Linked DNA regions of Kluyveromyces lactis. The protein of the gene in region 3 binds, or shares a complex with, the protein of the main gene of each other region. Links are inferred from orthologs where the notes say so. Each region holds a gene or a part of one and is shown on either strand. Other genes may lie near its edges.

What was found. The genes of interacting proteins can lie anywhere in the genome.
Region 1: RML2 (region 3) and RTC6 share a complex: the UniProt entries of both Saccharomyces cerevisiae proteins name them as parts of the mitochondrial large ribosomal subunit. The link is inferred for Kluyveromyces lactis from reciprocal best matches to the Saccharomyces cerevisiae genes RML2 and RTC6.
Region 2: RML2 (region 3) and MRPL32 share a complex: the UniProt entries of both Saccharomyces cerevisiae proteins name them as parts of the mitochondrial large ribosomal subunit. The link is inferred for Kluyveromyces lactis from reciprocal best matches to the Saccharomyces cerevisiae genes RML2 and MRPL32.

What each region holds. Positions count from the first base shown.
Region 1 is NC_006041.1:1,683,320-1,685,654, forward strand, and holds RTC6 (mitochondrial 54S ribosomal protein bL36m), read right to left. Parts: upstream 849-2,335; coding exon 606-848; downstream 1-605. Other genes in the region: tRNA (34-2'-O)-methyltransferase regulator RTT10, read left to right, coding at 1-428; kinetochore-microtubule binding complex subunit SPC105, read left to right, coding at 1,432-2,335. UniProt on the Saccharomyces cerevisiae protein: Component of the mitochondrial ribosome (mitoribosome), a dedicated translation machinery responsible for the synthesis of mitochondrial genome-encoded proteins, including at least some of the essential transmembrane subunits of the mitochondrial respiratory chain.
Region 2 is NC_006042.1:1,182,525-1,185,206, reverse strand, and holds MRPL32 (mitochondrial 54S ribosomal protein bL32m), read left to right. Parts: upstream 1-1,519; coding exon 1,520-2,077; downstream 2,078-2,682. Other genes in the region: septin CDC10, read right to left, coding at 1-976; KLLA0_F12804g (uncharacterized protein), read left to right, coding at 2,556-2,682. UniProt on the Saccharomyces cerevisiae protein: Component of the mitochondrial ribosome (mitoribosome), a dedicated translation machinery responsible for the synthesis of mitochondrial genome-encoded proteins, including at least some of the essential transmembrane subunits of the mitochondrial respiratory chain.
Region 3 is NC_006037.1:182,864-186,361, reverse strand, and holds RML2 (mitochondrial 54S ribosomal protein uL2m), read left to right. Parts: upstream 1-1,536; coding exon 1,537-2,742; downstream 2,743-3,498. Other genes in the region: ERD1 (Erd1p), read right to left, coding at 1-142; KLLA0_A02013g (putative aminopeptidase), read right to left, coding at 2,915-3,498. UniProt on the Saccharomyces cerevisiae protein: Component of the mitochondrial ribosome (mitoribosome), a dedicated translation machinery responsible for the synthesis of mitochondrial genome-encoded proteins, including at least some of the essential transmembrane subunits of the mitochondrial respiratory chain.

The DNA of each region.
Region 1 (2,335 bases), on a different chromosome or scaffold from region 3:
TACAAAACTGGTCCGAAAAAATCCTGGTACACACAGCAGGTATCAAATCACTCGACGTGAAGCTTGACAAGTCTTCGGATTCATTCAAAGTATATTCTGGGGGTGATGACAATGCTGTAGCCATCACTAAATTTACGAACAATGACAACTACACGATGAAAGCCGAAATACTAGATCACGATTCGTATGCTGCTTCATCAACAGTAACATCAGTGAATCTGTTAGATAATGACACAAAATTATTGGCTACATCAGTGGACCAGGTCATAAGAATTAGGGACATTACGAATGACAAACTGAAAATAACGGAGAGCAAATATACCACAGTAGCAGATACCGGTTCCAGTGATATAGTTACGTTACCAAACGTCCAGAAAACACTTATATTAATAGGAGGATTAGGACTTTCCTGTTGGCGAGATGAATAATATCTAACCATCTAAACTTCAGAATTTTATATATTTAAAACCAGTTTATTAGTATAGAATGGAAATTATTTATAGAAAGAAGGCTGCATTTTTCCACATTCAAGAAAAGAACACATCCTCCATTATGACTTATCTATATACATGAAAGATTGGGACGAATGGGAGGGCGATTGTAATTCAACCTTGACGTTGTTTATGCTTCTTATTGGACTTACAGTAAACGTACACTCTGCCCTTACGTCTAACCATGTAACAATCGTTACAGAACTTCTTGATGGAAGTTCTTACCTTAAAACCTCTGGTCAAAGGAGGGTTCATAAGACCCATCATTGGCATAGATAGCATATTGATACTTTTCACAGCTGGCCTTGTCAGTCTTGTCAACGAGTTCAACATCGTACTTCCGAAAAGTGTGCTCATTATGTATGTATTTCCCTCTCTTTATATTATATCGGGCTCCAGAGTTATACCTGTGAAGAGTTTTCAGTTTTTGATATCACCCACGGTCTTGAAACGTACTAATGGAGTCCACAATCGTCAATAAGGCATCACACCGACTGAACATGCCCTCTATAGCTGATGATCTACCATGAAAAGGCCTTCGATAATTTTTCAAAATAGTTTCAATGGAGATTAAGATATTTACCCGGACTATAGCACGTGATGGTTATGACCTGAGATCTTGAACATCCTCATCTAGTGAACATCTTTGGGCAAATCTGAAGACCGTTTCGAATCACTAACAAATAAATAATTGATGAAGTACACCCATCCTTTCTAAGAGACTCTTCAAGGCAGTTGTTTTATCCTTTTTCTCGGTTCTCACTGTATGTGCAGCAGCGCTCTGAATCGAAAACATTGAACTTCGAAAACGTAAACAATCGAATTTTAGATCAATATATTGACACACAAATACCGAATCATCATAAACTTAAGGACTAATATTTAGGTTAAGTTTCCATTTATTATCATATTTCACCCTGTGTTGATAGTCTCGCTTCATATGACAGATCCAAAACGATTGTCTTTGCTTCCGAGAAGTATCCTTAAGCAAAAATTTAAGGATGATGATACAACTAACACCAGTCATAATTTGACTATGTCCCAGATACAGTTTCCTACTGAGGGAATTACCAAAGAAGATATACTGGACGGAAACAATACGACATCCCGGATCAGTGCTGCGATTTCGAAGGGAAATCGCCGTGTGTCCTTTGCACCAGATGTGACTTTGCACAAGTTCGAATTCATACCACAATCGATTCAAAATGTAAGGGAACCTCGAAGGAAATCCGCTTTAAAATTGGAAGTGGCAGTAGCTGAAGCCTCTATGGCCGATACCAAAAATGATAACGACAATTCTGGAGAAACAATGGAATTTACTAGTCCGATAGGTTCAATATTCCAAAAATTGGAGTCTCCAAGCGAACCGAAAAATGATGGGTACCAACCTGTGTTCGACAAAGAGGTTTCAATGGATATAACACAGTTATTTGCAAAACATAGCGCTAAACCAGACGATAATGTGGTACCGCAAGAAACCTCTACTGCTGCGGAAGAAGAAGAAGAGAATGGTAACGAAGACCAAGTTTTGGAGGAAACAATGGACCTTACAGAACCGCAGAAACGCCGCTTTAACGAAGAAGAGTCTATGGAAATAACTGACCAAATACGGATGGATGCAGAAAAACCTACGCTAGATGCAGATTCAGAATCTGCTTTCAAATTACCTAAGATACCAGCAATTACAGAGGAAACAATGGAATTTACAAACGTGCAGGCTCCTCTGGAGATGCGAGAGTCACAGATAGTTTCTTCAACTCAACTAGAACCAACTCAACTCCCGCAGTCAAAAAGAAGGAAATTATCTAACGGTGGTTATCAGTCTCCGGTCAAATTGCAGGTAC
Region 2 (2,682 bases), on a different chromosome or scaffold from region 3:
CAGAAGTTCTAGCGTTGGCGTTCTCCTTCAAAGCAATCAATTGCTTGGATCTGAAACTTTCGTAGTGGATCAAAGCTGTAGTCTCAATCAAATCTTGCAAGTGTGTCCTGATCAAAAATTCTCTTAAATATACGAACTCACATTGGTTGATGTCTTCGACATTGATGGCACCCCAACGAGTTTTTCTTCCTCTTACTAGTTCACCGTTCACTGTAATCTCCTTTTCAGATCCTACAACGGCAAATGGAATAATAGATCTTATACTTTTATTCAGTTCCACTTCTTCATCGGTCAGATCGTCTAAATCATATGGATAGATTCTGAAATTGTACTTTTTAAATTCTTCTTGTAAGATGTTTCTGAAGTTAGCTCTCTCATTCAACGTCAAAGTATCAGCTTTAGCGATCACCGGGATAACATTAGCGATTTCTGTCAATCTCTTCAAAGCAGCAACGTCAAGTTCTGTTAGACCCTTACCGTTAGGTTGGATGAAATATAACACTGCATGTACTCGAGTGTCTACAATGTGTCTTTCACGTTGAGCAGTCAACTCTTTACGTAAATATTGAGAGTGTTGCTCCTTGATGTACTTGACAATAGGTTCCCAAACTTTGTCGTTATTTATCTGGTCACCAAAACCTGGAGTGTCAATCACGTTCACGTTCAAACGTACACGGTCTTCCAATAAAGAATGTGTTGAAACCTTGATCTCGGTGGTCTTACTAATTGGTTCCTGAGTGATGTCCTTACCAGTAGAAGAATCAACCAAGTGAGATGCAAACAAAGTGTTGATCAAAGTACTCTTACCCAGACCAGAATGTCCAACGACCATAACGTTGAATTGAAATCCTCTCTTCAACAAACGATGTTCAATCTGTGAAGTAATCGAATCAAACCCAACATAAGAAGATGGATTTACCAAAGCCAACCCATCAGAAGAAGAAGTCATACCAGCTGCAGCAGTACTAGATGCCATTGTTTTTGTTTATGCGTGTATTTTACCTTTAATAATTCCTTTCGCGTAGTAGAGATGTATATAAGTCAAATCCAAATGATCAAAGCTTTACGTGTTTTAGTGTTTGGAAGTTAAAATAATGAAAAACCTCTAAGTTATAAAAACAATTAACCGCAATAACAAAAATTCAAACAATGAGTAGCAATTAACCACAGAAACGTCAAAAAAAAGTAATCACAATCTTACTTATTCTAAAGAATACAAGATCTGATTCCTTACTTATATTTTGTTGACACACTTATTTCGTTTCGAGTTCCATTTTTAGTTTTTGTGATTTTTCGTCTTTTTCATCGAAATCGAAAAAGGGACACAGATCATCACCAAATCAGGGTAATGTTGAAAATTCTTTCTTATAATCCAATTCGTCAATACCAATTTGAATTGACGAAGTTCAAACAGAGTTAGACGAGCGACCTAGAGAAACTAGTATCTGTCCCTATCGATTGAACTTATCCTTTCTCCTCTTCATCATAGTATCATACCAGCAGCGAAAATAATTAGAGGATGTCTTTTGGAGCTGTAACGGAATCTTTTAGCAGAGTGTTGCTGGAAACAGCGACATCAATATTGCCTCGTTGGAGCACTCCAGCAGCTGGTACTGCATTGCCACAGAAACTGCTGGAATTGCTTGAAAGAAACCAACGTGAAAAGTCTTCACCTCAAGCGGATTACTTTACGAATAACGGGATCCTTCTAGCTGTGCCCAAGAAGAAAGTGTCGCATCAGAAGAAGAGACAAAAGTTATATGCGCCTGGAGACAAACAGCTGAAAATGATCAACCATTTGAACAAATGCCCTTCATGTGGGCATTACAAGAAGGCACATACGCTATGTATGCATTGTGTGGGTGAAATCCGTCACATCTGGAAGGCTCACACTAACGTTGAACAAGTGGAGCCTATTCAAGAACAAGAGTTGTCTGAATTGGACAAGCGTATCTTGTATCCTGGTAGAAAAGAAACTGAATACACAAAGAAACTGAAGGACAAGGATGCTTATTTGGAGAGACGTATGAAAACTCTGCCAGTGGAGAGATCTGAGAAGAAAGAAGGATCACATTAAACCCTCTTCTCATTGAATCCAGTACAAAATAACACATCGGCGGAAATGACTAAAAAAAAACAACCTTTTATCAAGTTCAATCCCCCCATCACCTTGTATATATATGTCGAATACACGTCCCAGATTTTAGCAGGTTATTTCAGTGTCAGCATTCACCTCCTGTAGTAATAGTTAGATTCATTATCTCATCACAATCAACTCTACATAGAATCAAATCACATACAAAAATTTTCCTAGAGCAGGCTTGATGCCAGGCCTAAAGGCGTGAAAATCAGTCGAGAAAAGATCAGATTGAAAAGAAAAAAATCATGAGTGAAAAGATTTGAAGTAGCGATGAGATGAGATGAGGTGCGAATACACGATACAGGATTAAGCAGGACCTGAAAACTGGCATCAGTTTAACAGTTTGGTCTGATATTGGTTGTTTTGTTTTGTTTCACTTTAAATTGACAATAAGGCTGACAATTTTCCATACAGTATGACAACGACACGACAGTTCAAGAAAGTGAAAAAGGTGCCAAATTACAGGATTCCTGTATTTACCAGCATCCCAACGCATCCGTTAGGGGTAAAACCTAGCGGGAATTCTTTATTAGAGGGTGCAG
Region 3 (3,498 bases):
CAATTACTTTGGACACGTCGTAGTAGGATACTGATACCTTCAGGAACCATGTCCATAGCCATAACCCTAATAACACAAGGACAACAACTCTCTGTGGGATCGGTAGGTAAACCAGAAAGGGTTCAACAGATTCGGCGTCCATGAATGCACGTATAAATAAGGAATCAAAAAAATGTAACAAAAAAAGGAGGAATAGAAGCAGAAGAAATCCCTTTCAGAAAGGCCCTGTGTGTATCGCTAACGGTTTAGATTTGTGGTTCACTGTCTCAGAGCTCTGTATAATCTAGGATCCTACGTTTTTAGTCCTAAGATAACACTTTTATTTCTATTGACATCTTTTCAAGACGTGTTTACAATTCAGATACCGGCACCAAAAATAAAAAAACACACACTACCGAAAAGCACAAGTTACAAGTACAAGAATGGAACAGCTAATGCTATATATAAACGTATTCAGGACTGTTAGAGATAACAAAAAGCGTGTTTCTAATCCTTTAAAATTTTGAATTTTATTCATGATTAGCATGGAAACTTTTAGTTCATCATTAATAGGTCTATATATTTAAGATAGAGAATGCCGAGTAATCCACTGACACATCTAACGTACACTTCGACTACCCGAATATATCCGGAAATGAAGAAAGTCAAACAAACAAGAAGATATAACTTGTACTGTATTGCCTGGACAGTTTATTTTAATAAAGTAATCGATTGATCAGAATTTTCAGTGTTTGGCTAATGCTAGTCGAATCGTTCATATTTTCGAAATCCGTTTGGGGCGACAGCGGTCATCATAATCGATATACTCAAAAAAAAAACAATCCAAATGATGGTATTTCCATACAGACAGTCATTATCTTCGTCGTTCCTTTTACTTGTTCATTTCCCGACATGAAGAGGAATTTGATTTCCGTTTGAGTTCAGTAAAAAAGACAGAATACGTTGCGAACAGGAACTCCTGTTCCTGATACACTACAAATCGAATCCTTGTTGGTTATGTCTCTAACTCTAATTAAAAGCTTTGTAACGGATAATAAAGTATTCGTGATGAGATAGAAACTTACCTCAAAATTTTTCACTTTTCCAGTTATTTAAACTAAAAACCATAAAACAGAAAGAATAGTCAATCTAACCATGAGAGACTGGTCTGCCATTAGGGCACAAAATAAGTACACAAAGATTTCCTGAATCACGTGACCAAATATTATATAATCCGGGTAAATTCAGAATACGTTCATAGTGATACTTCTTGCAAAAAATTCCATTTGACGATATTCCTCTGATGGTATTGAAGCTGTTTGAAATTAGAGATCGCTTGAAAGATTTTGATATTAACAAAAATGAACAATGTAATTGCAATGACTTAAACATTTTAAACTATGGATATTGATATATATAAGGGTGGATATATCTATAACAAATCTTATTAAGATCAGAGTTATTTTATTATTTCTGTGAAGGGCAGTAGCAAAGCGGAGATATTGGTATTAGACGGTTTACCCTAAGAATCTCGTTAGGTGCTCTGGATATAATATCATGTTCAAGCAATTCAACTTGAGATGCCTGACGCCGCTTGCCAGCGGCGTCTCCTCAAGAGTTCAAGTTCCGTGGAATGTTTCGATGATAATGTCTTTGAACAATACTTCACTTGGTGGAATCAGATCTATGGCCAGCATCACTCCAACCGGGAATGAAGAACAATCTTCAGTTGACGATGTCAATGTCCATATGTTGAAAATCGTTCCTAATAACACAGATGTGGTAGCACTAGAGAAGCAAGACGAATTGTTAAGAAGAAGAAGAAAGTTGGCTAAGGAAGTTACACAAATGAAGAAATTGAAACCGGTTTCTCCAGGTTTGAGATGGTACCGTGCGCCAATTTATCCATATTTGCATAAGGGAAGACCTGTTAAATCTTTGACTCTTGCCAAGAGAGGAAATGGTGGTAGAAACCATAGTGGTAAGATCACGGTGAGACATCGTGGTGGTGGTCATAAAAGAAGATTGAGAACAGTCGATTTCAGTCGTTTCGAATCTGGTATGCAAACTGTGGAAAGAATCGAATACGATCCTGGTAGAAGTGCACATATTGCATTGATAAAACATAACGATACTGGTGCCCTAAGCTACATTTTAGCATGTGATGGGCTAAGAGCTGGGGATACCATCGAATCATACAGAAAAGGTATTCCACCATCATTTTTGAAAGAAATGGGTGGGAAGATCGATCCTGCCATCTTATCTGTTAGAACAGCTCAAAGAGGTAACTGTCTACCAATCTCTATGATCCCAATCGGATCCATCGTTCATAATATTGGTATCACTCCTACAGGTCCAGGTAAGTTCTGTCGTGCTGCTGGTTCTTACGCACGTATCTTATCCAAGATCCCAGAAAAGAATAAAGCTGTTGTCCGTCTACAAAGTGGTGAGCACCGTTACGTATCATTGGAAGCTGCAGCTACCATGGGTGTTGTCTCAAATATTGACCATCAAAACCGTTCTCTAGGTAAAGCTGGTAGATCTAGATGGTTGGGTATAAGACCAACTGTCAGAGGTGTGGCAATGAACAAATGTGACCATCCTCACGGTGGTGGTAGAGGTAAATCTAAGTCCAAAAAGTTGTCCATGTCTCCATGGGGTCAATTGGCCAAGGGTTACAAGACAAGAAGGGGTAAGCATCAAAACAAAATGAAGGTTAAAGATAGACCAAGAGGTAAGGCTGGTAGAAAGGCTAGACAATGATAAGCTTCCCCACAACTGATCCTATCTTAAATATCATCAGTTTTTGTAAACTTATTTCAATGACTTCCATCCTGTAAATATCGTAGAACTAGTTAATTTAAAGAAATAACATAACATCTGTTCAGTTACCAACTCTATTTTAAACAAAGTTTAGATTACTACATCCAGAGCATCATTTGGTCTCTTCTTCCAGCTTAAATTCCCAGTTCCCAAGTTCGAATAAGGAACCAACGACTAACCTTACATGCTGGGCCATGTGATCAAATGAAAGTCTGTCTAAAGTGTCCATCGTACTGTGAATGTATTTGTTAGATTTGTTGAACTCACTTTCAATGACAAAGGAAGCGGGGAATCCATTCTTCGTTGCACTTCCGTGATCACTACATGCATATCCACATTCCGTTTCCACGTAAGGAATATCCAAGAATCTTCTTATAATCAACTTAATAAATTCAGTTAGACCTGGCGTGGTATAATCAGTAATGACACCAACATGCTCATTTTCTGGATCTTCAACATATCCGGTCATATCTTGTTGCAACATTGCGACGACTTTTTTGTTCTCCTCTGCATACCTGGTGAAGACATCCAAAGAACCTAGTAAACCACCTTCTTCTGCACTATAGAAATGGAACTCAATGGTGTTATTGGGTCTGTAACCTGTTGTAGAGAGATGTTCAACGTATAATCTCAATGCCTCTAGATTGGTTACGGTACCAGATCCATCGTCATCAGCTCCTGGCGCAGCAAGTATCG